Linked DNA regions of Ovis aries. The protein of the gene in region 1 interacts with the protein of each later gene in a biochemical or structural test. Links are inferred from orthologs where the notes say so. Each region holds a gene or a part of one and is shown in the gene's direction. Other genes may lie near its edges.

What was found.
Region 2: of the proteins of MAPK3 (region 1) and SREBF2, one has a biochemical effect on the other in vitro, tested with the Homo sapiens proteins (2 studies listed by BioGRID). The link is inferred for Ovis aries from reciprocal best matches to the Homo sapiens genes MAPK3 and SREBF2.
Region 3: of the proteins of MAPK3 (region 1) and PTPRJ, one has a biochemical effect on the other in vitro, tested with the Homo sapiens proteins (2 studies listed by IntAct, with this or other methods). The link is inferred for Ovis aries from reciprocal best matches to the Homo sapiens genes MAPK3 and PTPRJ.
Region 4: the proteins of MAPK3 (region 1) and HDAC6 form a complex in vitro, tested with the Homo sapiens proteins (2 studies listed by BioGRID, with this or other methods). The link is inferred for Ovis aries from reciprocal best matches to the Homo sapiens genes MAPK3 and HDAC6.
Region 5: of the proteins of MAPK3 (region 1) and DUSP3, one has a biochemical effect on the other in vitro, tested with the Homo sapiens proteins (2 studies listed by BioGRID and IntAct). The link is inferred for Ovis aries from reciprocal best matches to the Homo sapiens genes MAPK3 and DUSP3.
Region 6: the proteins of MAPK3 (region 1) and PTPRR form a complex in vitro, tested with the Homo sapiens proteins (2 studies listed by BioGRID). The link is inferred for Ovis aries from reciprocal best matches to the Homo sapiens genes MAPK3 and PTPRR.
Region 7: of the proteins of MAPK3 (region 1) and DUSP1, one has a biochemical effect on the other in vitro, tested with the Homo sapiens proteins (2 studies listed by BioGRID and IntAct). The link is inferred for Ovis aries from reciprocal best matches to the Homo sapiens genes MAPK3 and DUSP1.

Annotation. Positions count from the first base shown.
Region 1 is NC_056077.1:26,691,890-26,696,326, forward strand, and holds the start of MAPK3 (mitogen-activated protein kinase 3), read left to right. Parts: upstream 1-1,334; 5' UTR 1,335-1,356; coding exon 1,357-1,529; intron 1,530-2,556; coding exon 2,557-2,739; intron 2,740-4,437.
Region 2 is NC_056056.1:218,721,275-218,725,218, forward strand, and holds part of SREBF2 (sterol regulatory element-binding protein 2), read left to right. Parts: intron 1-3,332; coding exon 3,333-3,522; intron 3,523-3,944.
Region 3 is NC_056068.1:76,756,873-76,760,816, forward strand, and holds part of PTPRJ (receptor-type tyrosine-protein phosphatase eta), read left to right. Parts: intron 1-1,947; coding exon 1,948-2,205; intron 2,206-2,970; coding exon 2,971-3,246; intron 3,247-3,944. UniProt on the Homo sapiens protein: Tyrosine phosphatase which dephosphorylates or contributes to the dephosphorylation of CTNND1, FLT3, PDGFRB, MET, KDR, LYN, SRC, MAPK1, MAPK3, EGFR, TJP1, OCLN, PIK3R1 and PIK3R2. Plays a role in cell adhesion, migration, proliferation and differentiation.
Region 4 is NC_056080.1:56,245,827-56,249,770, reverse strand, and holds part of HDAC6 (histone deacetylase 6), read left to right. Parts: intron 1-246; coding exon 247-373; intron 374-469; coding exon 470-535; intron 536-627; coding exon 628-687; intron 688-766; coding exon 767-856; intron 857-1,179; coding exon 1,180-1,286; intron 1,287-1,375; coding exon 1,376-1,443; intron 1,444-1,702; coding exon 1,703-1,874; intron 1,875-1,963; coding exon 1,964-2,092; intron 2,093-2,250; coding exon 2,251-2,419; intron 2,420-2,745; coding exon 2,746-2,879; intron 2,880-3,398; coding exon 3,399-3,467; intron 3,468-3,577; coding exon 3,578-3,770; intron 3,771-3,944.
Region 5 is NC_056064.1:43,407,252-43,411,195, reverse strand, and holds part of DUSP3 (dual specificity protein phosphatase 3), read left to right. Parts: intron 1-3,155; coding exon 3,156-3,361; 3' UTR 3,362-3,944. UniProt on the Homo sapiens protein: Shows activity both for tyrosine-protein phosphate and serine-protein phosphate, but displays a strong preference toward phosphotyrosines. Specifically dephosphorylates and inactivates ERK1 and ERK2.
Region 6 is NC_056056.1:149,062,318-149,066,261, forward strand, and holds part of PTPRR (receptor-type tyrosine-protein phosphatase R), read left to right. Parts: intron 1-2,465; coding exon 2,466-2,621; intron 2,622-3,944. UniProt on the Homo sapiens protein: Sequesters mitogen-activated protein kinases (MAPKs) such as MAPK1, MAPK3 and MAPK14 in the cytoplasm in an inactive form.
Region 7 is NC_056069.1:4,709,788-4,714,512, reverse strand, and holds the start of DUSP1 (dual specificity protein phosphatase 1), read left to right. Parts: upstream 1-1,820; 5' UTR 1,821-2,061; coding exon 2,062-2,428; intron 2,429-2,703; coding exon 2,704-2,849; intron 2,850-3,213; coding exon 3,214-3,433; intron 3,434-3,863; coding exon 3,864-4,234; 3' UTR 4,235-4,725. UniProt on the Homo sapiens protein: Dual specificity phosphatase that dephosphorylates MAP kinase MAPK1/ERK2 on both 'Thr-183' and 'Tyr-185', regulating its activity during the meiotic cell cycle.

The DNA of each region.
Region 1 (4,437 bases):
AGATCTAATTATGAGCAATTTCAGAATCATAATTTCTGTTCCATTTTGTCTCTTGATCTTTAGTGCATACAAGGACATACTCCCAGCTTCCAAGGAAGACAAAAACAACGTGATTACTTCCTGAAGCCTAGGAGATGTGTTTTGTGAAGCTCCCAGCTCACATCTTCACTGTGAAGTGGAGATGGATTGGATGGTCTCTTCAGTTTAACAGTCTGGGAGACAGAATGCAATTAAAAAGAACTTCTGCCTGTGTGTCAGAAGATACATGTTAGTCTCAGCTCCTCAACTCTCAGATTTCCCATTCTGTAAAACTTTGATTCACCTATTCCAAAATTTTTGAGTGTCTACATTTGACTGTAGGGATGGGGGTGGGTGGGGGCTACAGCAATGAACAAGACAGACATGGCCCTCTGCTCATCCAGCTCAGAAAACCAGATGACACCTACACTGTGGGGTGGTTCTAATGAAGAAATTAAAGTGGACCAAATGCTGTGTAAACTATGAAGTCTAGCACAGGAGCAAAAGATGATGATCTCGGTTCCAATTTTTGTCAAATCCAAGGACAACAAAAATGTTAGCTATCCTGCTGTTTCTGAGTAAAGCCTGAGAGTGTATTTTTCACCAAACCCAGTCCACGCAGCCCTCACCTCTTCCCTATGCCTCCATGTAAAGGTAGGCTGGGATTATCTGTCCTCAGGATACAGGCACTGCCAGGTTGCTGAGGTCCGGTCCCTAGCCCACTTTGACAGGTCTCCATTCGAAAACCATTAGGCAGGGAGTCAAGATGCCTGGGCTTTCCAGCAATCAAGTTACCTTGCCCAGTCACCTTCAGTTTCCACATCTGTGAAAGAGGCCCCATGTGTGAGGAAGCCACCTGTCACGGCTACTATGAAATAAGCATCATATCACTCGGCATCGGGCCTGGCTCCAGGAGGTTCCACCTCGAGCCCCGGGCTACTCCTCGGGCCGAGTGGGCACAGCGGGGCCACGTGGCCCGGTCTGGGTCCCAGCTCCAGCACTCATTTGCTAGGTGGCTCTGGGTGAGGTCACCGGGCCGCCCTACCGGTCAGCATTCGGTGGCGGGGGTGGGGGGGGAGGGTCTGGACAGTCTCGAGACTGCCCTGGGGAGCTTCTACGTTGACTGGAGCAGACGAGGCCGACAGGTGCCAGGGACCACAGCCCCAGCAGCGGGAAAACGGCGCGCGCGCGGCGGGGAGAGTCACGTGACGCCGCGGGGGCGGACGGGGGCGGGGCCTGGCGCGCGCGGCTCCGCGGGTGAGAGGGCGGGCGGGAAGGGGCGGGGCCTCGGGCGGGGCCGCCGGGGGGAGGCGGGCGGGCGGGAGGGGAGGAGTGGAGATGGCGGCGGCGGCGGCGGCTCAGGGGGGCGGGGGCGGGGAGCCCCGGGGAACTGATGGGGTCGGCCCGGGGGTCCCGGGGGAGGTGGAGATAGTAAAGGGGCAGCCGTTCGACGTGGGCCCGCGCTACACGCAGCTGCAGTACATCGGCGAGGGCGCGTACGGCATGGTCAGGTGAGGGGCGTTCTGGGGGAGGGGGCGTCTCTGGGGAGGGGGCGGAGAGGGGTGCTGAGAGCTCTCTGGGCCTTGCGGACTCTGAGCATCCTGAAGAAGCCGGGGCTTCAGGAGGCTGGGGAGCGTCCCAGGCGGAGGGCCTTTGAGTGCTTTCTGGGGGAGGGGGTCACTGCGTAAGGTCTCAGGAGAGGAGGTTTGGGAGCTTTGAACTGACTATTCAATAATGAAGGGTAGGGCATCAGAGTGTATGTGGGGGAGCTCTGGGGACCTTGGGGACCCCATAATCACGGGGTGAGGAGAAGAGAATTAGTCTTCTTGGGGAGGTGATATCCTTAGTGAAGAAGGAGAGAGGGTCCCCTCACTGGGGAGAGGATGTCTTGGATCACCCCCCAGTGAGGCTTGCCAAGGAGTTTGGGAAAAAAGAGCAAAGCTCAGGGCTGGGTGGGGTGGGGTGGGGCTTTGGGCCTGGGGCCAGGGACCCAGTGAGCCATGAGGGGTCCAGGAACACCTTCCTGCAACTTTTAGGAGGGGTCTGTGAGTTCTCCTATCCGCACTGGGTGCTCTGGGCCTTTGTTCAGCTGGACATAGCTCTGCTGCCCAGGAACCTCCCCCTGACACCCGCCCCGGCCCTGCCTCTCCCTTCTCTCCAGTCCCTCCTCCGACTCCCTCCTTCTCACTGTATTTGCCTCATTGTCCAGTCCTCCACATCTCCCACCCCCTGGACCCGTCTTGGCTTGAGAGAGCCCATCGTGGGAAGGGGAGGATGAGGGGTCAGGGCAGCTCGAATGGAAAGGGTTGAGGAGAGGGGAAGTCAGTGAGCGGTCAGTCTCTTCCTCTGTTTGTGAAGTCACCGAAGGGCTGGCTGGCTGGTCCCCAGCTTTCTCCCTGGAGATCCCAGGCCTTCACAGCAGGAAGGAACTAGCATTGTTTATGACTGGCCAGAGCCCTCTCCTGCTCCCTCCCCGCCCTGCCAAGGCCTGGGTGGGGCCACCGGGCCTGGACACCAACATCTCTCTGGCCCTCTCAGCTCAGCTTACGACCACGTGCGCAAGACTCGAGTGGCCATCAAGAAGATCAGCCCCTTTGAGCATCAGACCTACTGCCAGCGCACGTTGCGAGAGATTCAGATTCTGCTGCGCTTCCGCCATGAGAATGTCATTGGCATCCGAGACATTCTGCGAGCACCCACCCTGGAAGCCATGAGGGATGTGTATCCTTCACCTGGGCCAGACGGCTGGCCAGGCCCAGCCTCAGAGCCGGGCTGGGAGAACAGGGGCTTGTTTTCTCTTCCCTTCTTCCCAACCTCCCTCCAAACAAACCCAGTAAAGGAAACTTTCCAGCGGTCAAGAGGCCACAGTGTAAGAAGGCAGAGAGGCCTCAGATGAATCCTGGCCTGCTGCGGCCAGGCAGTGTGGCCTTGGGCAAGTCTGTTCTCTCGATCTTGGCTTCGTAGGGGGCTGGGCAAGATGAGCCCTGTGGAAGCTTTGTCCTCTGACATCGGCAATTCTGTGAGGAGATCCAGCCTCTGCCCACAGTCAGCTCTTCTGTTTAACTGATGGCAGTTCTTGTTTCTCTGGGTCCTCAGACTGGCAGGAAGGCAGGCGGGAAGAACACTGCCCTGTTTTGAGGGCCTACTGTGAGTCTGGTGCAGCTCAAGCCGAGTGCTTTGACATTTCCTATTCTAACTCCCAACTGCCCTAGGAGATGGGTCTCAGCAGCTCCATTTCAAAGATGAGGAAACTGAGGCTCAGAAAACTGAAATAAAATCAAGTGCTTCTGTGGCTGCCTCTTCCCCTCCCCCAGACAAGAACCTGTCCCCTCTCTGGGACTTCCTGCTCAGAGTCCCACCCCAGTCACCTGTGGACTCGTACCTTGCCCAGGGAGGAACAGACCTGCCTTTGTGGCCCCCCCGACCCACACACACACATTGCTTTCCTAGTTTGTGGGTCCACTTCCTGCCTGGCTCTGTTAGGAGCTTTTACACTCATCACCTCTCCCCTACCCCACCCACCCCCACCATCCCAGTCCTTCCCCCAAGAGTGGTGATCTGTACTGCACTGTTTGCAGCCCCCACCACAAACTGTGGGCAGGAAACTTCCACACTCACCCTCAGCTTGTCGTGTGACCTTAACCAAGTCACTGCAGCATGCCGGGCCTCTTCATCTTTAAAATAGCAGGGTTGGTCCAGGTGTTCTCGGAAGGCCCTTTTGAGGCTGACTCTGAAAGACAGCCATAACTGAGTCTTCCAGAAACAACCCACATGACGTTTATTTGTTTGTTTATGTTTAATTCTTTTTTTATCTTAGAGTATAAAAGGACATTTACTCCTCTGTCTTCGGGTGTAGGGCCAAGCCCCCGGAGTAGGAGCGTGCCGCTGGGAAGTTTCTCCTCATTCGTCTTGCACAAACCATCCCCATAAGGCAGGCATTTATTTTTAAGCAAACATTTATTGCCTGCCAGATGGTGTTCATACATAATCTCATTTAACCTTCTCAACAGCCATGTGGCTCAGTCTTTTATAACAGCAATACTAGTTCACATTTGCCGAACATTTACAACGTGCCAGGCACCAAGCTGGCTGCACTGCCTGGGTCATCTCTCAACTAATCTTTACCACCACTCTCTAAAAAGGATTTTTTTTCCCCTTTACAGATGAGGAAGAGAGGCGCAGACAGGGCTTGAGTTCCTAAAGTGAATGAATGACCAGTGCAGGAATGATTGACAGTGGCAGGTGAACTCCAGAGTTACTGCTCTTAGCTGGGACGTTCTCCTGCTTCCCAGTTTATTATCCCCATTTTCTCAATAGGGAGACTGAGGCTACAGAACTGCGACGCTTTGCTCAGGGTCACCAGCTGAGATCCAGCAGAGGCCTTGAGTTCACCTGCTAAGTGTGGGCCTTGCCCAGCTC
Region 2 (3,944 bases), on another chromosome or scaffold:
TGTAAGGCCTCCCCAGACAGCCATTTTGCTTTTTTGCATTTCTTTTGCATGGGGATAGTCTTGATCCCTGTTTCCTGTACAGTGTCACAAACCTCATTCTATAGTTCATCAGGCACTCTATCTATCAGATCTAGGCCCTTAAATCTATTTCTCACTTCTACTGTATAATCATAACGGATTTGATTTAGGTCATACCTGAATGGTCTAGCGGTTTTCCCTACTTTCTTTAATTTAAGTCTGAATTTGGCAATAAGGAGTTCATGATCTGAGCCACAGTCAGCTCCTGGTCTTGTTTTTGTTGACTGTATAGAGCTTCTCCATCTTTGGCTGCAAAGAATATAATCAGTCTGATTTCGGTGTTGCCCATCTGGTGATGTCCATGTATAGGGTCTTCTCTTGTGTTATTGGAAGAGGGTGTTTGCTATGACCAGTGCATTTTCTTGGCAAAACTCTTATTAGTCTTTGCCCTGCTTCATTCTGCATTCCAAGGCCAAATTTGCCCGTTACTCCAGGTGTTTCTTGACTTCCTACTTTTGCATTCCAGTCTCCTATAATGAAAAGAACGCCTTTTTAGGGTGTTAGTTCTAAAAGGTCTTGTAGGTCTTCATAGAACCGTTCGACTTCAGCTTCTTCGGTGCTACTGGTTGGGGCATAGACTTGGATTACTGTGATATTGAATGGTTTGCCTTGGAGACAAACAGAGATCATTCTGTCGTTTTTGAGATTGCATCCAAGTACTGCATTTCGGACTCTTTTGTTGACCATGATGGCTACTCCATTTCTTCTGAGGGATTCCTGCCCGCAGTAGTAGATATAATGGTCATCTGAGTTAAATTCACCCATTCCAGTCCATTTTAGTTCGCTGATTCCTAGAATGTCGATGTTCACCCTTGCCATCTCGTTTGACCACTTCCAATTTGCCTTGATTCATGGACCTGACATTCCAGGTTCCTATGCAATATTGCTCTTTACAGCATCGGATCTTGCTTCTATCACTAGTCATATCCACAGCTGTGTATTGTTTTTGCTTTGGCTCCATCCCTTCATTCTTTCTAGAGTTTTTTCTCCATTGATCTCCAGTAGCATATTGGGCACCTACTGACCTGGGGAGTTCCTCTTTGGTATCCTATCATTTTGCCTTTTCATACTGTTCATGGGGTTCTCAAGGCAAGAATACTGAAGTGGTTTGCCATTCCCTTCTCCAGTGGACCACATTCTGTCAGACCTCTCCACCATGACCCGCCCATCTTGGTTTACCCCATGGGCATGGCTTAGTTTCATTGAGTTAGACAAGGCTGTGGTCCTAGTGTGATTAGATTGACTGGTTTTCTGTGAGTATGGTTTCAGTGTGTCTGCCCTCTGATGCCCTCTTGCAACACCTACCATCTTTCTTGGGTTTCTCTTACGTAGGGCGTGGGGTATCTCTTGGAGTTTCAGCTTCAACATCAGTCCTTCCAATGAACACCCAGGACTGATCTCCTTTAGAATGGACTGGTTGGATCGCCTTGCAGTCCAAGGGACTCTAAAGAGTCTTCTCCGACACCACAGTTCAAAAGCATCAATTCTTCTGTGCTCAGCTTTCTTCACCGTCCAACTCTCACATCCATACATGATCACTGGAAAAACCATAGCCTTGACTAGATGGACCTTTGTTGACAAAGTAATGTCTCTGCTTTTCAATATGCTACCTAGGTTGGTTATAACTTTCCTTCCAAGGAGTAAGCGTCTTTTAATTTCATGCCTGCAATCACCATCTGCAGTGATTTTGGAGCCCCCCCAAAGTAAAGTCTGGCACTGTTTCCACTGTTCCCCCATCTATTTCCCATGAAGTGATGGGACCAGATGCCATGATCTTCGTTTTCTGAATGTTGCGCTGTAAGCCAACTTTTTCACTCTCCTCTTTCACTTTCATCAAGAGGCTGTTTAGTTCCTCTTCTCTTTCTGCCGTAAGGGTGGTGTCATCTGCATATCTGAGGTTATTTATATTTTTCCCGGCAATCTTGATCCAGCTGTGCTTCTTCCAGCATATGTTAAATAAGCAGGGTGACAATATACAGCCTTGACGTACTCCTTTCCCAATTTGGAACCAGTCTGTTGTTCCATGTAGGTTTCTCAAGAGACAGGTCAGATGATCTGGTATTCAGTTCAGTTCAGTTCAGTTCAGTCGCTCAGTCGTGTCCGACTCTTTGTGACCCCAAGAATCGCAGCACACCAGGCCTCCCTGTTCATCACCGTCTCCCGGAGTTCACTCAGACTCAAGTCCATCGAGTCCGTGATGTGATCCAGCCATCTAATCCTCGGTCGCCCCCTTCTCCTCCTGCCCCCGATCCCTCCCAGCATCAGAGTTTTTTCCAATGAGTCAACTCTTCTCATGAGGTGGCCAAAGTACTGGAGTTTCAGCTTTAGCATCATTCCTTCCAAAGAAATCCCAGGGTTGAACTCCTTCAGAATGGACTGGTTGGATCTCCTTGCAGCCTGGTATTCCCATCTCTTTAAGAATTTCACTTATATATGGAATCTTAAAAAGAAAAAAAGTACAAAACAGAAGCAGATGCTTAGATAAAGATAACAAATGGGTAATTGCCAGAGGGGAGGGGTGTGGGAGGGTGAGTGAAATAGGAGGGGGAGACTTAGAGATACAGACTTCCAGATAAAAAAATAAATCAGTCAGAGGGAAGAGCTTTACAACATGGGGAAAATAGTCAGTAATGTTGTGATAATTTTGTCTGGTGACAGATGGCAGCTAGATTTATTGTAGAGATAGTGTCATGTATGAAAATAGTCCAAGCACTGTGTTGTGTACCTGGAACCAACATAATGTTTGTAGGTCAATTATACTTTAACTAAAAAATAACAATAAATGAGTAAATCCTTTCTAGGTTTTTAAAAAAATGATACAGAACATATTCATCTCCCATGAATGTACACTTTTGCAGGAAGTTCACCCATACCTCTCCAGGCGCAGAGTTAACTTCTGATTTTGCCTTCAGTCGCTTTAGATCAGCTTGCCTGTTGTGGAATTACACAGAAGCAGAATCCCTCAGGGTGTTCTCTTTTGTGTCGGAGCACTGTGGTAACAGCAGGGCCCCTCTCCCTCCGGTCTTTAGAATGCATTCTTCTCCCAGGTGGGCCCTCCCCCTTAGGCGAGGGCCCCGTGTCTGAGCAGCAGTGGGAGAGGCGTGAACCTCTTAGTTCCCTCCTGAGTTTATTCCCATCCAGCTTCATGGTCTTGAATTTAAATCTCAGAGTCCCGATTCCGATATATAAAAAGTAAAATGCTATAAAAACTCACTGCAGTCTTCCTTCTCGCCTCGCGGCCCCCTGTTTCGAAGGTCAAAGATGAGCCAGACTCTCCGGTCGCGCTGGGCATGGTGGACCGCTCCCGCATCCTGCTGTGTGTCCTCACCTTCCTCTGCCTCTCCTTTAACCCCTTGACCGCTCTGCTGCAGTGGGGGGGTGCCCACGATGCAGACCAGCACCCGCACTCAGGCCCTGGCCGTAGCATGCTATCACTCGAGTCAGGTAGGTGGAGGGCGCCTTGGGCCACCCGGGCACGAGTGGGCTACTGTGGCAGAAGGCGGCCCTACTTGCAACCCACTTGGCTTGTCACCAGGTCCCAAAGGGCTTTCACAGTGGGCCCCACCTGCTTGCTTCTGATAGTGTCCAGCATCAGTTGCATGTACAAGTAACAGGACAAACCTAAGTTCAATCAGAAATAGCGAAACAAATCAGGACCCTGCTCAGCTGTAATTGGGGTTTGGGGGTGTGCCTGTTTGGAGGAGGATGTGGTCTTGCTGCCTGAGTCGTTAAACCAGCTGCGAGCCCTGCCTTGGCCAGCAAAGATTTGTGTGGCATTCTGCCGCGCCATGGTGACAAGGGCTCCAGGGCTCCCATCGAGGCTGTGGAGTTGTCCCAGATTTTCTACAGTGTGGATTAATTGCATG
Region 3 (3,944 bases), on another chromosome or scaffold:
AATGATAAGGGGATCACAGTTTGGGTCCCTTCGATGTTGTGTGACTTGCCAATTCTCAGAGTTTAATCCAATAATAACATTATGTAGTGGGGGTCTACAAAGTGCTGGGCTCTCAGCCTTTGTATTTAAACATTTTGAACACAACTCTATGAGGTAGGTACTATTATCATCTCTATTTTATAGAGTAGGAAACGGGGAGTCTGTGAACTTAAGTAACTGACCCAGGGTGACAAGGGAGTGAACTGGCCTCTGTCTGACTTTGAAGACTGAGGTCTTAACCACGGTGTGGACTGCACTTCGATATGGAGCAACTGCAGAAGTAATTTAGGACTATTTGTAAGGAGAAGGCATCTCTTGTACTATTGCTTATAATCGTCCCAATGAATGGAAATCAAGAGCTGTTACTGGGGGAGAATCAATGTAACAGCATTAAAGGTGATTTTGAAAAAGGGAAGCAAGTACTGGATGACCCAGCAATTCCACTCTTACATGTATACATATTTCTAAAAGAATTGAAATCAGGGACTTGAACATATTTCTCAACACCAACATTCATAGTAGCGTGATTCACAATAGCTAAAAGGTGGAGGCAGCCAAGTGTCCTGTCAGCAGATGAAATGTGTTATATCCATAGAATAGAATAGTTGTTGTTATTTAGTTGCTAAGTTGTGCCTGACTCTTTCGTGAGCCCCGTGGACTGTAGTCCACCAGCCTCCTCTGTCCATGGGATTCTGCAGGCGAGAATCCTAGAGTGGGTTGCCCTTTCCTCCCGCAGGGTAGCTTCCAGTCTGAGGGATTGAACCCGCATCTCCTGCGTTGCAGGTGGATTCTTTACCATCGAGCCACCAGGGACGCCTCACAATAGAATGTTGTTTAGCCACACAGGAATGATGCACCAAGACATGCTACAGTGGGAATAAGCCTTGAAAGCATTATGCTAGGCAAAAAAAGCCCGACGTGGAAGAACAGCTACCACGTGAATCCACTTATGTGAGGCGCCTAGAACTGGCACATTCATAGAGATGGAAGATAGAGCAGTGGGGAGAAGGGAGGAACAAGAAGTTCTTATTTCACGGGAACAGAGTTTGTGTTGGGCATCATGAAATGCTTTGTGTTTAGACAGTGATGATGGTGTTATCCATGCTGTTAATGTATTTAACGCTGCTGAGTTGTACACTTACAAATGGTTCAGATGCTAACTGTTGCACCCTTTTTATTTTACTACCACAAAATTCAATAAAGACTTTAAAGATGGTCCTTGTTAAAAAAAAAATCTTAAAAAAAAAGATTCTGTGCAATTATATTGCGGCTGGTTCAGTGTGTAGAGGTGAGACGGTGAGTGCAGAGCCCAGAGCATTCTGGGTAGTTTCGCTTCTGACTCCCTGCTGTGAGGATGCGCCCCGTGGCTTCTCCGCCTTCCGCACTCCAGCCTCAAGTGATCCCACAGTGTCAACTCTCCATTTCAGTTTTTCTCTTCAGTATGCCTGCCTATGTTATAGAAAGATGTTTTCTTCCGAGGGAGTGGTTTTTAAAAACTTTGCTGAGATATAATACTTACGCTGAAACACACACACATCCTAGGTGCATAATTTGATGCGTCTTTACAAACCGAACCCATCTGGTCACTAGCACTCAGATTAAGAAAAACTGAGCATGGTTTCCACTCTAGAAGACCCCCTCCCAACCACCCCCAAACCAAGGGGATGTCTCTATGACAAAAGCAAAAGGCCAGAGAACTGATAGGATAGGTTGGTAAATTCATTGGTGTTGCAGAAGAGCCAAGAGTCTTGAAAGAAACTGTTTCTTGCCTGCGTGTTAGAGAGGTTGCCCTTTGTGAACTCATTTGATGACAGAAGAGCAAGTTCTCTGGGCAGATACTTTAGAATAAAGCTGGACATTACGATGGTCATTGACAGACTTCCCTTTTTCTTCCTTTCCTCTGCCCAGACCCCAGTGCAGTGTTTGACATCCGTGTTGTTAACGTCACCACAACCGACATGCAGCTGCAGTGGCGGAACACAGACAACGCTACCGGGTACATCTACAGCGTAGAAATATGGTCTGAACACGGCTCTGATTTGAAAAACAGTTCTCACACAGGGATCACCTTCCACGGCCTGACCCCGGGCACCTTATATACAATCACAGTCACCCCCAGCATGAACTTGGTCCAGGGGGTGGCCAACTCCACTCTACAGTACACACGTGAGTGTTTTAGGACACCCTCCTGAGGAAGCATTTTCCCAGCCTTTCACCTGGAGGAGGGGAAATAAGCACAGGTTCAGTGACGAGGCAAGAGGCCCTTATGTTTCTGGGCTCCAGGTACAATGTGAAACCAAGTAAGCTGAAGACATTGGGCTCAGTCAACGTTCTGCCCTGCCCTGGCGGCACTGGTGCTGAGCCATGTGAACTTGGAATTGTCTTCCGAAGCAGAAGGGCATCCCATAAGCATGGGGAGCATCTGTATTCATTCATTCCTCGGGAATACAGACTGGAGGAGGGGTCACCCGGTCATGTTGACATGGAAGATGCTGCCCAAAGGACGCAGTTTCGCATGCACCAGTGAGGGACATGCTTTGGTAATATTTGACCTAAATATATGGTAGAGAGGGAAGTTGATAATGTCTTTTTTGTATATTTTTGTTTCATTAATCATATTTTAAAAACAGGTGGGAAATTACATCTTGAAAATAGATTTCAGATAAAGTATTAAAAGAAGTCTGAAAAGCTTCAGTTCTTTTGAGATTTAATCTGCATAATTATTTTCTAAATGTCTTTTTGGGGAAGCCTCCTCTTTTTTGATCCCAGCAAGTATTAGCTTTATTTATTCTTTACCCAAAGGACCAGTCTATTTTTATTTTAAATTTAATGAAAAAAAAAAGAAAAAAAATGTCCAGGCTATTTTTAGATGCAGTCAATAAAATGGCTCAAGTTAATCCATCCTTTTTTTTTTTTCCCCTAAAACTTAAGGGCCCAACAAGGTGTCCAGCATTGAGATAATGACCAATACCACAGCAGCAACCTTAAACTGGCAGAATGTTGATAAAGCCTCTTCAAACTATACCTACTGCCTTCTTATTGGGCGGAATGGAAGTTCCAGCAACGCCACGCCAATAGTCACAGGCATCGGCGTTACCCAAGCTACAGTCACCAAGTTAATACCTGGTTCCTCCTACACCGTAGAGATCTTCACGCAGGTGGGAGATGTCCAGTCACCTGCACCCGGCAGGCAGTCATTCTGTACAGGTGAGTAGTCCTCAGGGGCCTCTTGGATTCCTTCTTGTATCATGCTGACCTTGCACATAGGTCCTTGCAATAAACTCTAGTTGGTTAGTTTTCTTGCCGACCACCATGGCATCTTAGTTTTCCAACCAGGGGTAGAACCTTCACCCCGCTGCAGTGGCCCACCAGGGAAGCCCCTCGAGTTCGTTAGCTTCTGTGTGGTGTGTGAGCATCCTGTTATCTCATTAGTGCTGTCTTGCTGCCCTCGTTGTTCATTCATTCCGCAGATATGTCCTGAGCATTTACTGTGTGTCAGGTACTGTCAAAGGTCACAGATGAGTCCCTGCCTTTCTGAAATTTTCATTCTGGTGGCAGAAGACCAATAAGCGAGAAACGTAGGTTATTAGGTGACGATTGCTGCTGAGGAAAGAGAAGTAAAAAGGATAGGAGAAATGAGATGTTTATCTTGGGGAAGGCTTTGTCGAAAAGGTGACTTTTGAGCAAAGACTTGCAGGAAGTGAAGCCAGTCACGTGGACGGGAGAGACGGGCAGTCCCAGTGCGGAGATCCTGGGCCTGGAGTGTGCCTGCTGTGTTGGAAGAACAGCAGGAGGTCAGGATGGCAGAGGTGGAGGAGGTGAGGCCCACGGGGTGAGGGGCCAGGGCACAGCTGATGTCAGGCCTTGCAGCTCAATCGTTTGGCTTTTACCCTGAAGAAGACAGA
Region 4 (3,944 bases), on another chromosome or scaffold:
GGAGGAATTTCAGTAAGAGACCAAATGAATGAGTAAGTGAGGTAATGGATAAATGGAAGAATTAATGAATGGGAGGATGAATAATTTGGCAACTGAATGGAAGAATGAATATATGAATTTAAAAATTCATGGGGAAATTATTGAGAGAATGAATGAGTGGTTAAGTCAACTGTGGTAGCTGTGGGTTGGAGGTTTCTGGGGAATACTGACTGAACCCCCCACCTCTTTTTTTTTCTCTGCCTCCAGTGTCCTCTATTTCTCCATCCACCGCTATGAGCAAGGTCGGTTCTGGCCCCATCTTAAGGCCTCTAATTGGTCCACCACAGGTTTAGGCCAAGGCCAGGGATACACCATCAACGTGCCTTGGAACCAGGTCAGTGTCTGCATACCCTTCACCCCCAAAGTGAGACCCACTTCTGCCCTTCAGAGCAGATGGCAGCACGTCCCCATTATACCTCCCTGTCTGCAGGTGGGGATGCAAGATGCTGACTACATCGCCGCTTTCCTTCACGTCCTCCTGCCAGTTGCATTTGAGGTCCTGGGGCTCTGGGGTGTGCTGGGGCAGAGGTGATGTTGAAGGATGGGCCATGATAGCAGGTGGCCTCATGTGATTCCTCCCTCCTTCAGTTCCAGCCCCAGCTGGTCCTGGTAGCCGCTGGATTTGATGCCCTCCAAGGGGACCCCAAGGTAAGGCAGGTACTTGGGGATGGCGGGAGGGCAGAAGGAGGCCCTGTGGAGCCAGGCTGACCCTCCGTGTCCCCCCCAGGGTGAGATGGCCGCCACTCCAGCAGGGTTCGCCCAGCTCACCCATCTGCTCATGGGTCTGGCAGAAGGCAAGCTGATCCTCTCACTGGAGGTGAGTGACTCATTCCACTTCAGCCCTTGGATCCTGGAAGACAGAAGAACAACATTCAAATCTGGCAGAAGTTCCTGTCCCAGCATTTCCACTTACTAGCTGGACAACCTCACCTACGTCCCTCAACTTCCCTAGGCCTCTGCTTCCCTTATGTCAGAGGTGTATCATAATAGTTGTAACCACCTCAGACTATTTGCTCAGCAAATGAAATCACCCTTCAAATGCCTTGGCATGCAGCCAGCACCACCCCAGTGTCATTCATACTCTTCTCTGATAACATCTGGCTCTTTCCTGCCCACCCTCACATGAATTCCTTCTCCCAGGGTGGCTATAATCTCCGCTCTCTGGCTGAAGGTGTCAGCGCCTCCCTCCACACCCTTCTGGGTGACCCTTGTCCTATGTTAGAGTCTCCTGGTGCCCCCTGCCCGAGGTAAGCCCAGGTGGAGGAGGGGAGAAGCAGGCCCCTCACTGCTCATTCAGGAGCTGGTTGGTCACATTTCTCCCTCACTTGACCTCCAGTGCCCAGGTGTCACTCTCCTGTGCTCTAGAAGCCCTGGAACCCTTCTGGGAGAGCCTTGTGAGATCAGGTAGGTGTCAGGGAGTATGTTGGGTCAGGGGTTGGGTAAGGAATGAGCTGTGGGAGGAGTTTCTCTTCAGACCCCACTCTGACCTTCCGGAAGCCACCTTGCTGGGGGGAGGGGAGAATCATGCCCTCTCTCTTACTGGGCCCTGATTTCAGGCCTCCCACCCCTTTTTAGGTTTGGGTAAACCTCGTTCCAGAGTATTACAGGGATCTAGGTTGGGGGCGGCATAAGGGAGTAGGGTGAATGTGGCCTCCCCTTGCAGTTGAGAGCCTGGAAGAAAAGGACACTGTGGAGAAGGATGATGTGGAAGAGAAGGAGGAAGAGAAACTGCCACAGTCCTCTGAGCTCTCCATTCCGATATGGCCGGTGCTACAGGCTCGCACGGGGTTGGTCTATGACCAGCGGATGATGGAGCACTACAACTTGTGGGATAAGTAAGCAGTCAGAGAACCAGGCTAAGTGGGAAGTGGGGAGGGACCCCCGCTTTCAGTAGTAAGCCCTGCCTCTGTTCCCTCACTCCTAGCTACCACCCTGAGATGCCCCAGCGCATCCACTGTATCATGCATCACCTGGACGAACTGGGCCTTGCCAAGCGCTGCCACTCCCTGCCCGCAAGGCCTGCTACAGATGCTGAGCTGCTCACCTGCCACAGGTCAGACCCATGTGGCCAGGGTAGGATGGGCCTCAGAGCATGGAGCCTGGGCTTGCCTCTCTGATACATGGAGCTGTTACAAGACATGGGGTGGGGAAGGATGTGGAGGGGACAGAATTACCTGGCTGTCTTCTCAAGTGCCCCCTCTGTACCTCCAGTGCTGAGCACTTGGAACGTCTGCGGGCCACGGAGAAGATGAAGACCCGGGAGCTGCGCCGTGAGGGTGCCAACTATGACTCCATCTACATCTGCTCCAGCACTTTTGCCTGCGCACAGCTGGCTGCAGGCGCCGCCTGTCGCCTGGTGGAGGCAGTACTGGCAGGAGAGGTGCCTGTGCTTTGGGGAGGGGACCTTGGGCTCCTGGCAAGGAAGTCCTGGGAGGGGGGGGGCGGGCAAGAAAGAGGCAGCTCTGAGAGTTGGGCCAGGCCTGAGGAAAGGGGACTTGGAGAGCAGTCCGCAATGGAAGGGGACTACAGCCCCAGCTCGCCAGAGGCCTTACTCACAGGGAAGTGCACCCAGGGGGATGGGGCCTACAGGGCTGTGGGGAGGAGGCCTTAGCAGCTGGTGGAGTAGTAGGGGCACAAGAGACAGGGAAGGGGAGGGAAAGCGGTGAGGGTGGGTGGTCTAATCTTTGCTTCCTGCCCCTCCCCCAGGTTTTGAATGGCATTGCTGTAGTGCGACCTCCTGGCCACCATGCAGAGCCGGATGCAGCTTGTGGTTTCTGTTTTTTTAATTCTGTGGCTGTGGCTGCTCGCCATGCCCAGGCCATCAGTGGGCATGCACTGCGGTAAGGCTCCCTGCCCCCACTGCCCAGTGCTTACTCAGCAGGCCCTGTAATGCAGCCCCCAAAGTTACCCAGGACCACCCCAGGGTCCAGTTGCCCAGCACTTCCAGAAAAGGACCAAGGAGGATCTAGCTTCTGGGGCCTGACCCAAATGGGATCCCCAGATTGTGGCATGCAGGTGCTTATCAAACAGAATCCAAGGTCCCCTGCCCCAGAATTTCTGGCCCTTGATGACTATCCTAACAGAACCCAGGGGCTGGCTTCTGGTGCTTACTTCAAAAGGCCCATGGCACTTATCCACATGGGGCCTAGGATCTGGCCCTGAGCACCTGCTCTGGCCCACTGTGAAGCCCTTAGGACTCTGATAGGACCCACAAGCCTGCCACCCAGCGCTTTCCCCAGGGACTCAGGGTCCTGCCACCCGCAGTAAATGTCCCGGCACACAGACTCCAGGGATGTAGCCCCTGCCCTCCCCCAGGGAACCAGTGTTGCCAGGTAACTAAGGTGCTGTCCCCTCCTCAGGATCCTGATCGTGGACTGGGACATCCATCATGGTAATGGAACTCAGCACATATTTGAGGAGGACCCCAGGTGAGGGGCTGGGGCAGGGGCTGGAGTGTGGTCAGGGAGATGGGCAGGCCATGCCTCAGGGGCACCTTGCTAACCAGCTGTTGTCCCCCCTTCCCACCCTGTCCCCACAGTGTGCTGTACATTTCCCTGCACCGCTATGATCATGGTACCTTCTTTCCCATGGGGAATGAGGGTGCCTGTACCCGGATAGGTAAAGCTACAGGCACAGGATTCACTGTCAATGTGGCCTGGAATGGGCCCCGCATGGGTGATGCTGACTACCTGGCTGCCTGGCACCGTCTGGTGCTTCCCATTGCTTATGAGGTATGATTCGGGGTGCACGTGATGAGACTCTGTATGTGGTAGTGAGTGTGCATGTGTCTAACTTACAGGTGACTGATCCTGTGAGAGGGCCTGTGGGTGACAGTAGTGATGGCTTTGGGTGAGGGGATGTGACTGTGTGATGGCCTTTGGGTATGTCTGTGCAGTATCTGTCTG
Region 5 (3,944 bases), on another chromosome or scaffold:
CAGTTTTTTGCTCTTAAACTGATTGGATGAGGTCCACCCACCTTATCAAGGGTGATCTCCTTTACTTAAAGTCAACTGATCGGAGGTGTTCATTACATCTACAAAATCTCTTGTAGTGTTTGACCAAGCAATTGGGTGTCATAGACAAGCCAAGTTGACACATTTAACCATCACAACCAGCAAGTTAAAATTTAAACCCAGATTCCTATGACTTCAAGGATTGGGGGTTCTCAGTCCTTATGCTGACAAAGGAAATAGTTGAGCTGGGGTCTTAAGGATGAATAGGAGTTTGCCAGGTTGCCAAGAGGGAGAGGGTGTTCCAGGTAGGAGGAACAACATGAGCGAAGGCACAGAGGTGAGCATGAATAGCCTGGAAAGGTGTCGGGGCTGCGGGCAGTTAGCCTGGTAAGTAACGTTTTGGTGGCTAGCCTACCCAACTAATGGTGACAGGTCACATTTATATTGGAGAAAGCTCCCTCCAGCTGTTGTGTAGGTTGGTGGAGGGTGAGGGTGGAGGGAAAGCTTAGTTTGGAGGTGAAGGGGCAGAGGTGAGAGATGATGAAGACCTGAACTGAGCGCTCTGTGTGAGGAGAGAGTAGGGATAAGAGAAGCCAAGGCTTCTTGCTCAAGGGGCCTCCCCACTTTGATAAAAGATTGGAGGAACCTTGTTGATGATGCTCTGGCCTCTCCTGACCATCCCTTCCTTCCTTCATCCAATGCTGGGGATACAACAGGGAGCAAAACAGACAGGCATCCCTACCCTCGAGGAGCTTACATTTTGGGGGAAGATGACAGTAAACAGTGAAAAACATGTGTGGCCCCCAGGGGATGGGGGTGACTCAAGCAGGGAGCAAGGGGATGACAGGGTATAGAGAGTGGGATTGTGGCTCTTTAAAGGTAGGCAGGAAAGACCTTCCTAGGACACTGGAGCAACACCTGGGAAAAGAGGTATTGCAGGCAGGCTCCAGTCCATGGGGTCGCTAAGAGTCAGACAGGCCTGAGCAAGTAAGACTTTCACTTTTTGCAGGCCAAGGTGCTGGCTGGCTGGATTGGAGGGAGGAGGGGAACGAGGAGATGATGTCAGGCAGGGGGAGGGGACGGATTTAATAGTCTCCCTGGTGGCTCATACTGTAAAGAAGCGGTCTGCAATGTACATTGGGTCTCTTACATTTGATCCCTGGTTCAGGAACATCCCTTGGAGGAGGGCATGGCAACCCACTCCACTATTCTTGCCTGAAGAATTCCATGGACAGAGGAGCCTGGCAGGCTGCAGTCCTTGGGGTCGCAAAGAGTGGAACACAGCTGAACAACTAACACATACATTCATTGTTTTGATTCTCTGTGTTTGTATTTGACATTCACGGTCCTTCTATTTTGAAATGGTTTTGTTGAGGCATTAATTGACATTCCCTAAACTACACATAGTAGAGTTTGGTAAGTTTTGACATATGTATACATCTCTGAAGCCATAACTACACCCAAGATGGTGAGTTTATCCATCACCCCACAGATTTCCTTCACCTCCCTTTGTGACCTCTCCCTTCTGCTCCTCTCTATCCTCCATTCCCAAGTAACCACTGATCTGCTTTCTATCACTAGACATTAGTGTACGTTTTGTAGAGTTTTGTGTAAATGGAGTTGCACAGGATGTGTGCTTTTTCGGTCTGGCCTCTTTCACTCAGCATAATTCTTTTGTTTCTTCCATGCTGTTGCCGTAGCAGGAATGCCTTTTTAATGCTGAGTAGTGTTCTGTTGGATGGACATTCCATAATTTGTTTATCCATTTACCTGTTGATGGATATTTGGGTGGTTTTCATATTTTGCTTTTGCTTGAAATGGAAAATTCATGTAGGTTAGTACCCGTATCGCAGTGTGTAGATCAGTGCACTGCACACACCCGTGTTTTTGTTGTTCGGTTGCTAAGTTGTGTTTGACTCTTTGCGACCCCATGGACAGCATGCCAGACTTCCCTGTCCTTCACTATCAGCCCCAGATCAAGAAACTAAACCTGACCAGCACCCCAGAACCCCCACATGTTCCTCCCAGTGTCGCATCTCCCACCTCCACACCACTATCCAAACTTCTAACCGCGTAGCTCAGTTTTGCTGGCCCCCTTTTTTTTTCAGTTTTGTCTTGGCCACACCTCGCAGCATATGGGATCTAGTCCCCTAACCAGGATTGAACCCGTGCCCCCTGTAGTAGAAGCCCCGTGTCCTAACCGCTGGACCACCAGGGGATTCCCCTGACTCTTCTACTCTGTGGGATCATACACATCCTATTTGTGTGTTTCATCCAGTTTGTATCTGGGAAGTTGTTGACTGTTCAGACTCAGTATTCATCTACTTTTCTGTTGACCAGCCTCTGGGAGTTTCCAGTATGGGGCTATTGTGACTAGTGCTGCCTATGACGTCCTGGTGGGATTCTTTTAGCAGACGTGTGTTTGCAGTCCTATCTGGCGTGAGTCTGGGATGGAATTGCCAGGCCCTGGGGGATGCACATGGTCAGCTTGAGTAGATCCCATCACATGGTTTCCTGAAGCCATGATCCCCTCCCCAACCACGGTAGCTCAGCTGGTAAAGAATCCACCTGCAATGCAGGAGACCCTGGTTCAATTCCTGGGTAGAGAAGATCTGTTGGAGAAGGGATAGGCTACCCACTGCAGTATTCTTGGTCCTCCCTGGTGGCTTAGCTGGTAAAGAATCTGCCTGCAATGTGGGAGACCTGGGTTTAATCCCTGGTTTGGGAAGATCCCCTGGAGAAGGGAATGGCTACCCACTCCAGTATTCTGGCCTGGAGAATTCCATGAACTGAATAGTCCATGGGGTCACAAAGAGTTGGACATGACTGAGCGTCTGTCACTCTGTTTTTCACTTTCTCGAGCCACAGATCAAAGTCCTAGCAAAGCGTCAGACATGACTGGGCAACTATCACTTTTCCTTTTCACTTTCCCCAGCCACAGATCAAAGTCCTAGCTATGCTCCACATCCCTGACAGTGCTTTGTGTGTTTTATCTTTATCTTTGCCATCTTAGCCATTCTGGTGGGCCCAGGATGGCCTGGCAGTGTAATTTGCATGTGCATGTCCTGGGAAGAGTTCTGACTAGAGTTGAGGTGTGGTGGGCCAGCCCCAGCTCATCACGTCCCCGTCTCTCACAGGCCGAGTGCTGGTCCACTGCCGTGAGGGTTACAGCCGCTCCCCAACCCTCGTCATCGCATACCTCATGATGCGTCAGAAGATGGATGTCAAGTCCGCCCTGAGCATCGTCAGGCAGAACCGTGAGATCGGCCCCAATGACGGCTTCCTGGCCCAGCTCTGCCAGCTCAATGACAGACTCGTCAAGGAGGGAAAATTGAAACTCTAGGGCGCCCCCACTGCCTCTTCTCTAGAGGTCAGACGCGGGTGGGGGTCCCTGGTTGTGATGTCACAGGCTGCCATGTTTAGGAAACACAGTGTACCCTGCTCCCAGAATCACCAGGCACTTGCCCACACGTCTGTCCCAACACGGCCCTGGGCCGCTTTTCCCCTGGGGAGCATATAAAGAAGCTTGCTGAGGAGGGCGTCCTGCTCCCTGGCGTGTCCTGTGCCTGCAGTTTGTGACGTCCTCACCCTGAGGTGGGGGCCCAGAGGGGGAAGGCCTGCGACAGGCGTGCTTCTCCTGGACGACCCAGGGCAAGAGGTCTGTGGAAGTGCAAGGCCTGAGATGCTCACAGGGGCCCCTCCTGACCTCCCCCGTCCCCTACTCCGAGCCCCCACCCCTGGGCCCTTTCCTGAGTGGGGCTCTGTAAAGGAACTATGCAAATGTGGGCCCCCTCCCCCCACTGTGTCTGTCTCCCCCGAATCTTCACAGCCGTCCATGCTCTGCTCACAGAGACACGTCATGAGGTCTGAAGTTGGCTGGGGTCAGTTGTCCGTGGGTGGAAATGCTCATCAAGTAACTGCATTTT
Region 6 (3,944 bases), on another chromosome or scaffold:
TCTCTCATGCTACAATGGCAGAGTTGAGTAGTTGTAACAGATCGTCTGTCTAAATTGAAAGTTAAAATATCTGTTATCTGGTCCATTACAGAAAATGTTTGTCAACTTTCTCATAGTTCAAGACTAGCTACCCTGGTAGGTAAAAATAGAAAGGCCCTGAATACCTGTCTCACCAATCTGACACTCCTCCCAAAATATTCTCCCTAAGAGAGAAATGTTTTGTATCAGGCAAGACTCTGTCTCCAGACAGCATCTATTAAAATCCCTTTAGGTATAAGAGGATAAAGGATAGTGAACACGAAGGCAGAGGATTTTGAATAAAGAGTGAAGAAGAACCATCCTGAAGGACAGCAGTCCAAGGAGAATGCAAGAATAGTCTTGAAAAGTCAAGAGAAAACTTGGATGGGTAATTGAAGTGGGACGAAGTAAGCCCAAGGGATCTTTTCTATTAGGCCCACTTTAGACCTATCAATCAGCCATATCCTTTCTTTTCCTCCTCTCCTCAATATTTAGGGACTTTGATATCATCCAACTACATGTTCCCATCTGTACTTGAAAGTGGGTGTGAGCAAAAGAAAGGCAGATTAAAATATTATGATTTTCTCTTTGTAAAAAGCATATTATCAAAGCTTCCTGTGAAAAGGGACTTTGGAATAATATTTTACAGTTTTAAAGTTGTTCTTAATTTCTGCTGCCTTAGAAACTCAAGCAAAGACTTCTCGTTCTCCTTGCCCTAAATTCTTAGGCTCCTGCTCGGGCCCAGTTTCATACTGCATCAATACCTGCATTTCCACATATGGAGAAGAATTTGCTTTTAATTTTGGTTTAGAATTATTATTTCTTTTCCTTTTTTCCTGTGTGGCAGATGAATTACGTTCATCCCCATAATAACTTTTATTCTGTGAGTCAGCTAATCTCTGGGACTAAATAAGATTTTTTAAAAAAAACAAAGTTTTTGACAATAGAAGAAGAAATATAGCATTTCTCATTACCTTGAAAGAAGTTATTTATATCCAGAGTGTACCTAACTCAAGTGAGAAGTGAGGTATTATAGATGTCTTAGATCTAGATTTTATATATATATGTACTTAGATATCTTAGATATACTCTTCTGTGTGTAGATTTAAAGAGTATAATGGCTCTTTGAAAGGGTAAAAGAGGGGTTTGCCACACCTAGAGAGGGATATGCATATCTTCAGAGAATGTTAGCAGCATTTATGCATGTCTGTTTCTAAGAGTAGTTTTTGTAATAGTTTGAGTTATGACGACACCTGAGGAAGCACAGTATAGTGATTAAGAGCAAGTGCTGTGGAGACAGACCCAGAATTCTATTTCATTTCCAGTTTGGCCTTGCCCCAGCTCTATGACCTAAGGCAGGTTACTTAGTTTCTTTCATTTATAACATGAAATGACTATAATACCTCTGTCCTGGAGGTAACAGGTTTAAGGCACAGGGAAGCATGACAAGTACAAAACAAGGGTCTCTCCCTACTATCATTGCTATTAGATCATAAACTATTTGAATTATTATCAACATCTTTCACATCAGCATTATGTGATATCCAGTTGTTGTCTGTTGTTTGCTGCAAACACAGAAACATTTTTCCCTGGATTGCTAGCTGTCCTCCATTTTATACCTGAGTGAATGTCTGATAAATTACATTCAAAGAAAATATTCCTTTAAAAAAAAAAAAGAAAGTTTTCTAGCAGGATAAAATTCTGTGTATTGAAAAGAAAAGCTAACCACATTTTCTTTATAAGTGTTTTGCGTAAGTTGTGAAAGAGAATCTGTCGATGGCAGCATCATTTTGTGTCATGTTTGTTTCTTATGGGTGTGTGGCACATCAGCCATTTATGGTAAGAAGTCCTCTCACCCTGTCCCAGCAAATGAGGTCAGACTAATAGGAAAGTAACATGATATCATTGCATAACACTTGCATTTCTACCGAACAATAGATCTTAAGAGTGTGACATATTTAAGGTGAAAAACAGGATCAGGGAAGTAAGTTCAAAGACAGCATCGCCTTCCTTAGTTAGTCCAGTCTTCACATTAATGCAAGTTATAAGATGGGGTGATGATGTCTTATAATTGTACTGTTAAATCAGATTTTGCTTAGTTCATTCGATTTTAAAATACTTCTTTAAACACAATTTCTCAGGAAACATCTGAACAATATATCTCAAAAATTATAGTATCGAATAGAAAATAAACCAGCATCTAATGAAATATAAAATTAGAAAACTAGACATGTTAACTAACTGAAAGAAGGCCATTTGAAGATGTGGGACTTTGGGCTGCTAATTTTAAGTGTACAAAAGAATACTTAATAAAAGTGATCTCCAAGATGCCATTTAGGAATCTAAGGTTCTGGTTTTCTTTAATATTTCTAGAGGAAAAGCAAAAAATATTTCCCAGACTTGCTTCACATGTCTACTAACATATACAAATAATCTGCTTTTCCTAGGAAAAGAAGAACAGTGTTGAACTATTTGTGTCTCCCATAAATCGGAAAGCAGGGTTTTCTGATGCTCTGCCATCTGAAGAAGTGCTGCGTTCCCTCAATATCAATGTTTTGCATCAGAGTTTATCCCAGTTTGGAATTACAGACGTCTCCCCTGAGGTAGGTTGTTGCGTGGAATATTTCATTTAAAATTTTGCACAGTTAGTGTGACACAACCCAATTCTAGGAGACTCTGAGATGAAAGCTGTTGATTGTGTGTTAACTGATAATATAAAAATCTCCCTTAGGGTCAAAATTCTCTGATTTCACTCTGTGTATTTTTATTCCTTAAGGAAGTTCATTTTCATATCAAAGTTTCACTTTTTGACAATTTCTTCTCCAATCTTTATGGCCTTATAATTTATTTTGACTTATTCAACAAAATGTCCAGAAGAAAAGTCATTTAGATATATTTGTCAATTGATTGCTTATTACTGAGCTGTTCCAAAAAACACCCTGATATCTTTCCTCCTCAACAGTTTTGCTTCTCATTGTTTTTGTTGTCAAAATGGTCACTTTTTCCCACTATGAAGTGAAAGTCACTCCGTTGTGTCTGACTCTTTGCGACCCCTTGGAATTCTAAATGAAATAAAGTAGTTTCCTTTCGGCTGTGCTGGGTCTTTGTACTGCACGTGGGCTTTCCCTAGTTGCAATGCCTGGACGTGTCACTGCGGTGGCTCCCCTGTTGCGGAGCACGGGCTCTAGGGTGCATGGGCCCCAGTAGTTGTGGCTTGTGGGCTCTAGAGTACAAGCTCAGTAGTTGCAGTGCACAGGCTTAGTTGCCCCACAGTATATGGAATCTTCTCAGACCTGGGATCAAACCTTCGCCCCTTGCCTTGGCAGTCAGATTCTCGACTACTGAGCTGCCAGGGAACTCCACGTGTGTGTGAAAGTGAAGTGAAAGTCGTTCAGTCGTGTCCATCTCTTTGCAACCCCATGGACTGTATAGTCCATGGAATTCTCTCAGCTGGAATACTGGAGTGGGTAGCCTTTCCCTTCTCCAGGGGATTGACCCATCCCAGGGACTGAACCCAGGTCTCCCGCATTGCAGGCAGATTCTTTACCAGCTGAGTCACAAGGGAAGCCCAGGAATACTGGAGTGGGTGGCCTATCCCTTCTCCAGTGGATCTTCCCGGCCCAGGAATCAAACCAGGGTCTCCTCCATTGCAGGCGGATTTTTTACCAACTATCAGGGAAGCCTACCATGGGATTAATATGAAATGTGGTTTTTTAATTGGAGAGAAATCCAGTCTTTAGAACTACGAATATTTCCTTTACAGTGTTTTCTAAATTTGGCACTTTTCAGATTTCCCCGACCACCTCCACCATTTTCATTCCTAAATAAACCCAGTCTCATTTTTACTTCACCTTGCTGTGTCCCACTCTTAACAAATTTGCTAGAATAAACATCATCCCAAATAAACATAATTAAATTCACAGAAT
Region 7 (4,725 bases), on another chromosome or scaffold:
ATCAAGTTGGTATGCTGTGAAAAGTCAGCAGCTGTAACATTTCATGATTCAATGCATAAAATATGTTGAGTTCCTCAGCTGAATAAGTAGTATAAACAAATACTTTCTCTTTTTTTTAAAAGATACAGGGCGGGTGTTGCCATAATCTAAGGACCTCTTTGCTGTTCTCAGCCAGTGTTCACCTGAAGGCCAAAAATGCTCTTTTTAAAAAAGCACTTAGCCTTTTACTTTTTTAGAATTTAGGCAGAAAGTCTGAGCATGTGAGAACACTAAGCGAGGCAAATGCAGAAGTTGCCTCTGCTGATACAACCAGCGGATCAACGACACTGGGTGTTAGTGAAATACCCCGCTCTCCTAGAGGAGAGGGGAGGAAACCACAGAATGTTCCTGACTCAGCACCCCAGCCTGATGGCGCAATATTTGTGTTTGTGTGGTGCTGCCGGGGATCGGGAGGTCGGAGGGCTTCACTAGGGCCCAGGATGAGGGTGACCTTATGGAGGTCTCCCCAAACCTTTGTCCAGGTCCTGTAAATCCTCTTAAAATGCTGTAGGATTATATTTCAAGACCAGCTCACGTTGATGGCAAGAACCAGGGCCCTGGGGCTGGACGGTGCTCCGGTTCCCAGTTGCAGTCCCCAGCCCGGCGCTTAGTAGGCGCTCAATCAGTACATGTTTGGGGACTAAAAGAAAATCCCCAGGAAAAGGGAATGGTAACCCACTCCAGTATTCTTGCCTGGGAAATTCTATGGACAGAGGAGCCTGGTGGGCTCCAGTCCATGAGGTCGCAAAGAATCTGAAGAAACCACCACAAAGAGATGAAGCCGCTGAGACTTAAGAAAACGCGAGCAGAAGAAAGGTGTCTGGCGGTCCCTGCGGGGGCGCTGTCGATCCGCACTGGGCGGGGGGTCGCCTCACTAAAAGCCGGACGTCCGCAATCCACAACCGCACCTTGCGGCCCCCACCCTCATTTCAGACCCCTGACCCGCCTTCCTCGGCTCACAACCACGTAAGGACCACATGACTAGGATTGACATTTTTCTGCTTGGGGTTTGGTTGGACCGCATTTTACTTGTTAAATGTACATTTTAAAGTAACAGGAAAGCCTGGGGAACAGGAATGTATTTCCCTGAACACCTCCACCCCAACCTACCCCGGTTGTTCTTGAGCGGACAAACTCAATTTTTCTCCGACCCTCATTTCAGTCTCCCCTCGGCCCGCTCACCCCCAGCAGTGCGATACTGGGCAAGTATAATAAATCGCTTCTCCTCGGGAACCCGTGTTTCCTCGCCTGCTGGGTACGGGGAAATGAGAGAAAGGGGCGCCTGTGTATCCAGTAACAAAGGAGACCCCTTTCGGCTCCGGTCGGCGGAGGAGCGGGCGCCGGGACGCGGCGCGGTGGAGGGGGTGGAAAGGGGGAGGCGGGGGCCCATGGCACGCGGCCCGCTCCCAGGCACTCGCACACGGGAGTCAGCCCTCGGCTGGCAGAGCGCCCACCCTCTCCCCTCCCCGCTGGGCCCGGAGAGTGGCCCGGACCAGCTCCCTAGGGACGCGCCAGGCGCAGGCTGGACGGCCGGGCGGAGGCCGAAGCCCGAGCCAGAGCTTAGCCAGCGGACCCCACTCGGAGGCCGCTGACGTCTTCGCCTTTGGCTGCTCCGGCGCCAAACCCGGCAAGGCGGGTGACGTCACCACACCAGTCACGTGACCGTCATTCAAACAAACAATCCCCTCCCCCACAGCGCGCGCGCGCGCGCGCCCCGCCCCGCGCCGCCCCGCTTGCTTACGCGGAGCCACAATATAAACGCTCTCCGCCGGCTCGGACTCGCTGCGAAAGACTTCGGGGCCCTGGGCGAATCGCGGGTGGAAGGGCCGTCGGGAGAGCAACAAGGAAGCCGAGGCGGTCGAGAGTCCCACACGGCGACCCCTCGCTCGGTCCAAAGGCAGTTTGGGTTTGGCGCAAAGAAAACCGGGGTCGGGCTTTTCCTCGAAAGCCATCGCCCTGCTGTTCGCTTCCCGGGACAAAGAACGTAGGACGACTTGCACGCTGGGGGCGCTGGGGCCGGCCATGGTCATGGAAGTGGTCTCCCTGGACGCCGGAGGCCTCCGGACGCTGCTGCGGGAGCGCGCGGCGCAGTGCCTGCTGTTGGACTGTCGCTCCTTCTTCGCTTTCAACGCCGGCCACATCGCCGGCTCGGTCAACGTGCGCTTCAGCACCATTGTGCGTCGGCGGGCCAAGGGCGCCATGGGTCTGGAGCACATCGTGCCCAACGCCGAGCTGCGCGGCCGCCTGCTGGCCGGCGCCTACCACGCAGTGGTGCTGCTGGACGAGCGCAGCGCCGCGCTGGACTGCGCCAAGCGCGACGGCACCCTGGCGCTGGCCGCCGGCGCGCTCTGCCGCGAGGCGCGCAGCGCGCAAATCTTTTTGCTCAAAGGTACGCCTTCGGGGACGCTCAGGGGCGGGCCTCACGCCCTCCGCCGCCTAGTCTGGGGACCCCTGGTTCTCAGCTGCGGGGGGTGCTGCTCCACCTGAGAGCTTGGACGCCTGAGTCGCATTGTGGGGACTTGTTGGCTTTGTTTGGCTCTAGGAACAAAGACTCGCCTGGGGCTCCCCGGGCTAAACTTCCAGCTCTGGTGGATGAGGAAGTTGTATGAAGGTACCCTGTCTCGGCGGTACTAATGAAAAATATGTGTCTCTTTGTGTTCCCAGGAGGATATGAAGCTTTTTCTGCTTCCTACCCGGAGCTGTGCAGCAAACAGTCGACCCCCATGGGGCTCAGCCTTCCCCTGAGTACTAGTGTCCCTGACAGCGCTGAATCGGGGTGCAGTTCCTGCAGCACCCCGCTCTACGATCAGGTTAGTAGGGGGCTGTGCCGGAGGGGAGAAGGAAGAGCTGGCAAAGGTGGCAGAGCCGCGCTAGTGAAAATATAGAAAGTGACGTGCAGCTTTATTTATAACAGGGGACACAGGAGATTTCATTTATCCCGTGGTTACATGGCATGATGGAGCCGAGCCTGTAATTGTTGGCACTACAGAAATTAGCTTGTTGGCCCTGCCTAGGCAAATGGGTTTAGTCCCTTATTTATTGACACTCTTAACAGTGCTGTGAGGTTCACCCAATATTGAAACTAACTTATCCAGGAGGGAGGTTTTGTGGATGTGGGCACCACCATTGCCGTTGAACAAAGCTTGACAAGCGTTGGATGTTTCTGGATTTCAGGGTGGCCCAGTGGAGATCCTGCCCTTTCTGTACCTGGGCAGTGCCTATCATGCTTCCCGCAAGGACATGCTGGATGCCTTGGGCATCACTGCCTTGATCAACGTCTCTGCAAACTGTCCCAACCATTTCGAGGGTCACTACCAGTACAAGAGCATCCCCGTGGAGGACAACCACAAGGCAGACATCAGCTCCTGGTTCAATGAGGCAATTGACTTCATAGGTAAGTGGAGCAGATGCCTGGGACTTTGCCACACTCCTTCTGTTTCAGTGACTGAGACTAAATTCCATGGCAAGAACTTGAGCAACATAGATTTAAGCTTTCCTCTAGACATTAAAATCAGTCTGGCATGGGCAGCATCCCTGCAAAGTACAGTTTCGATGTCCCACTTTATAAATTAGCAAACTGAATCTCAGGTTGAATTGATCTGTCCAATATCAATCTGCTTAGTGGCGATGCCTTGCCTGGGTTTAAATCCCCGGCTGTTTAAATCCACTGTGCCCACATTGCCTTCATGGACAGTATGTCTGTGATGACATGAGGTGATATCGACCATACTGGACAGGACACATGTGGCATTTCTTAGACACCTGGGGTTGGTTGGAGTTATTCTCCTGGGCTCTCAAATAACCAGCTGCCCTTTGTTTTCCAGACTCCATCAAGAATGCTGGTGGAAGGGTGTTTGTCCACTGTCAGGCGGGCATTTCCCGATCGGCCACCATCTGCCTCGCTTACCTCATGAGGACTAACCGAGTCAAGCTGGATGAGGCCTTTGAGTTCGTGAAGCAGAGGAGAAGCATCATCTCCCCCAACTTCAGCTTCATGGGCCAGCTGCTGCAGTTTGAGTCGCAGGTCCTGGCCCCCCACTGCTCGGCAGAGGCGGGGAGCCCCGCCATGGCTGTGCTTGACTGCAGCACCTCCACCACCACTGTCTTCAACTTCCCGGTCTCCATTCCCGTCCACCCCACAAACAGTGCATTGAGCTACCTTCAGAGCCCTATCACGACCTCTCCCAGCTGCTGAAAAGCCACGGGAGGTGATCTTCACAACCCACCGGGATTCCAGGCTCCTGGAAAGTGGAAATGCAATAACTCCAGGGAAGGGGGCTCGTGAGGGCTGGTCTTTATTTATTTAATTTCACCCAAGTTCCACTGGGTTCCTGAGCAGTTGTAATGATGACTTCACGCCAAGATGTTTGCTGAACTCAGCACATTTCGGGACCAACATACAGTGCGTACATCAAGTCCCTCGGACAGAAAGGGGCAGAAGAGAGAGGACTCAAGTGTGAGAGCCGATTTCTCTTTTTGTCCCTGTTTTCTGAAGACACTTTTCATGCTTGACATACCTACCAGTATTACCATTCCCGACAACGCATATACATATGAGAATATACTTTGTTTTATTTATTTTTGTGTAGGCGGTCCACCTTCACAAATGTCAGTGTCTACTCCTAGAAGAACCAAATACCTCAATTTTTGTGTTTGAGTACTGTAATATCCTGTAAATATATCCTA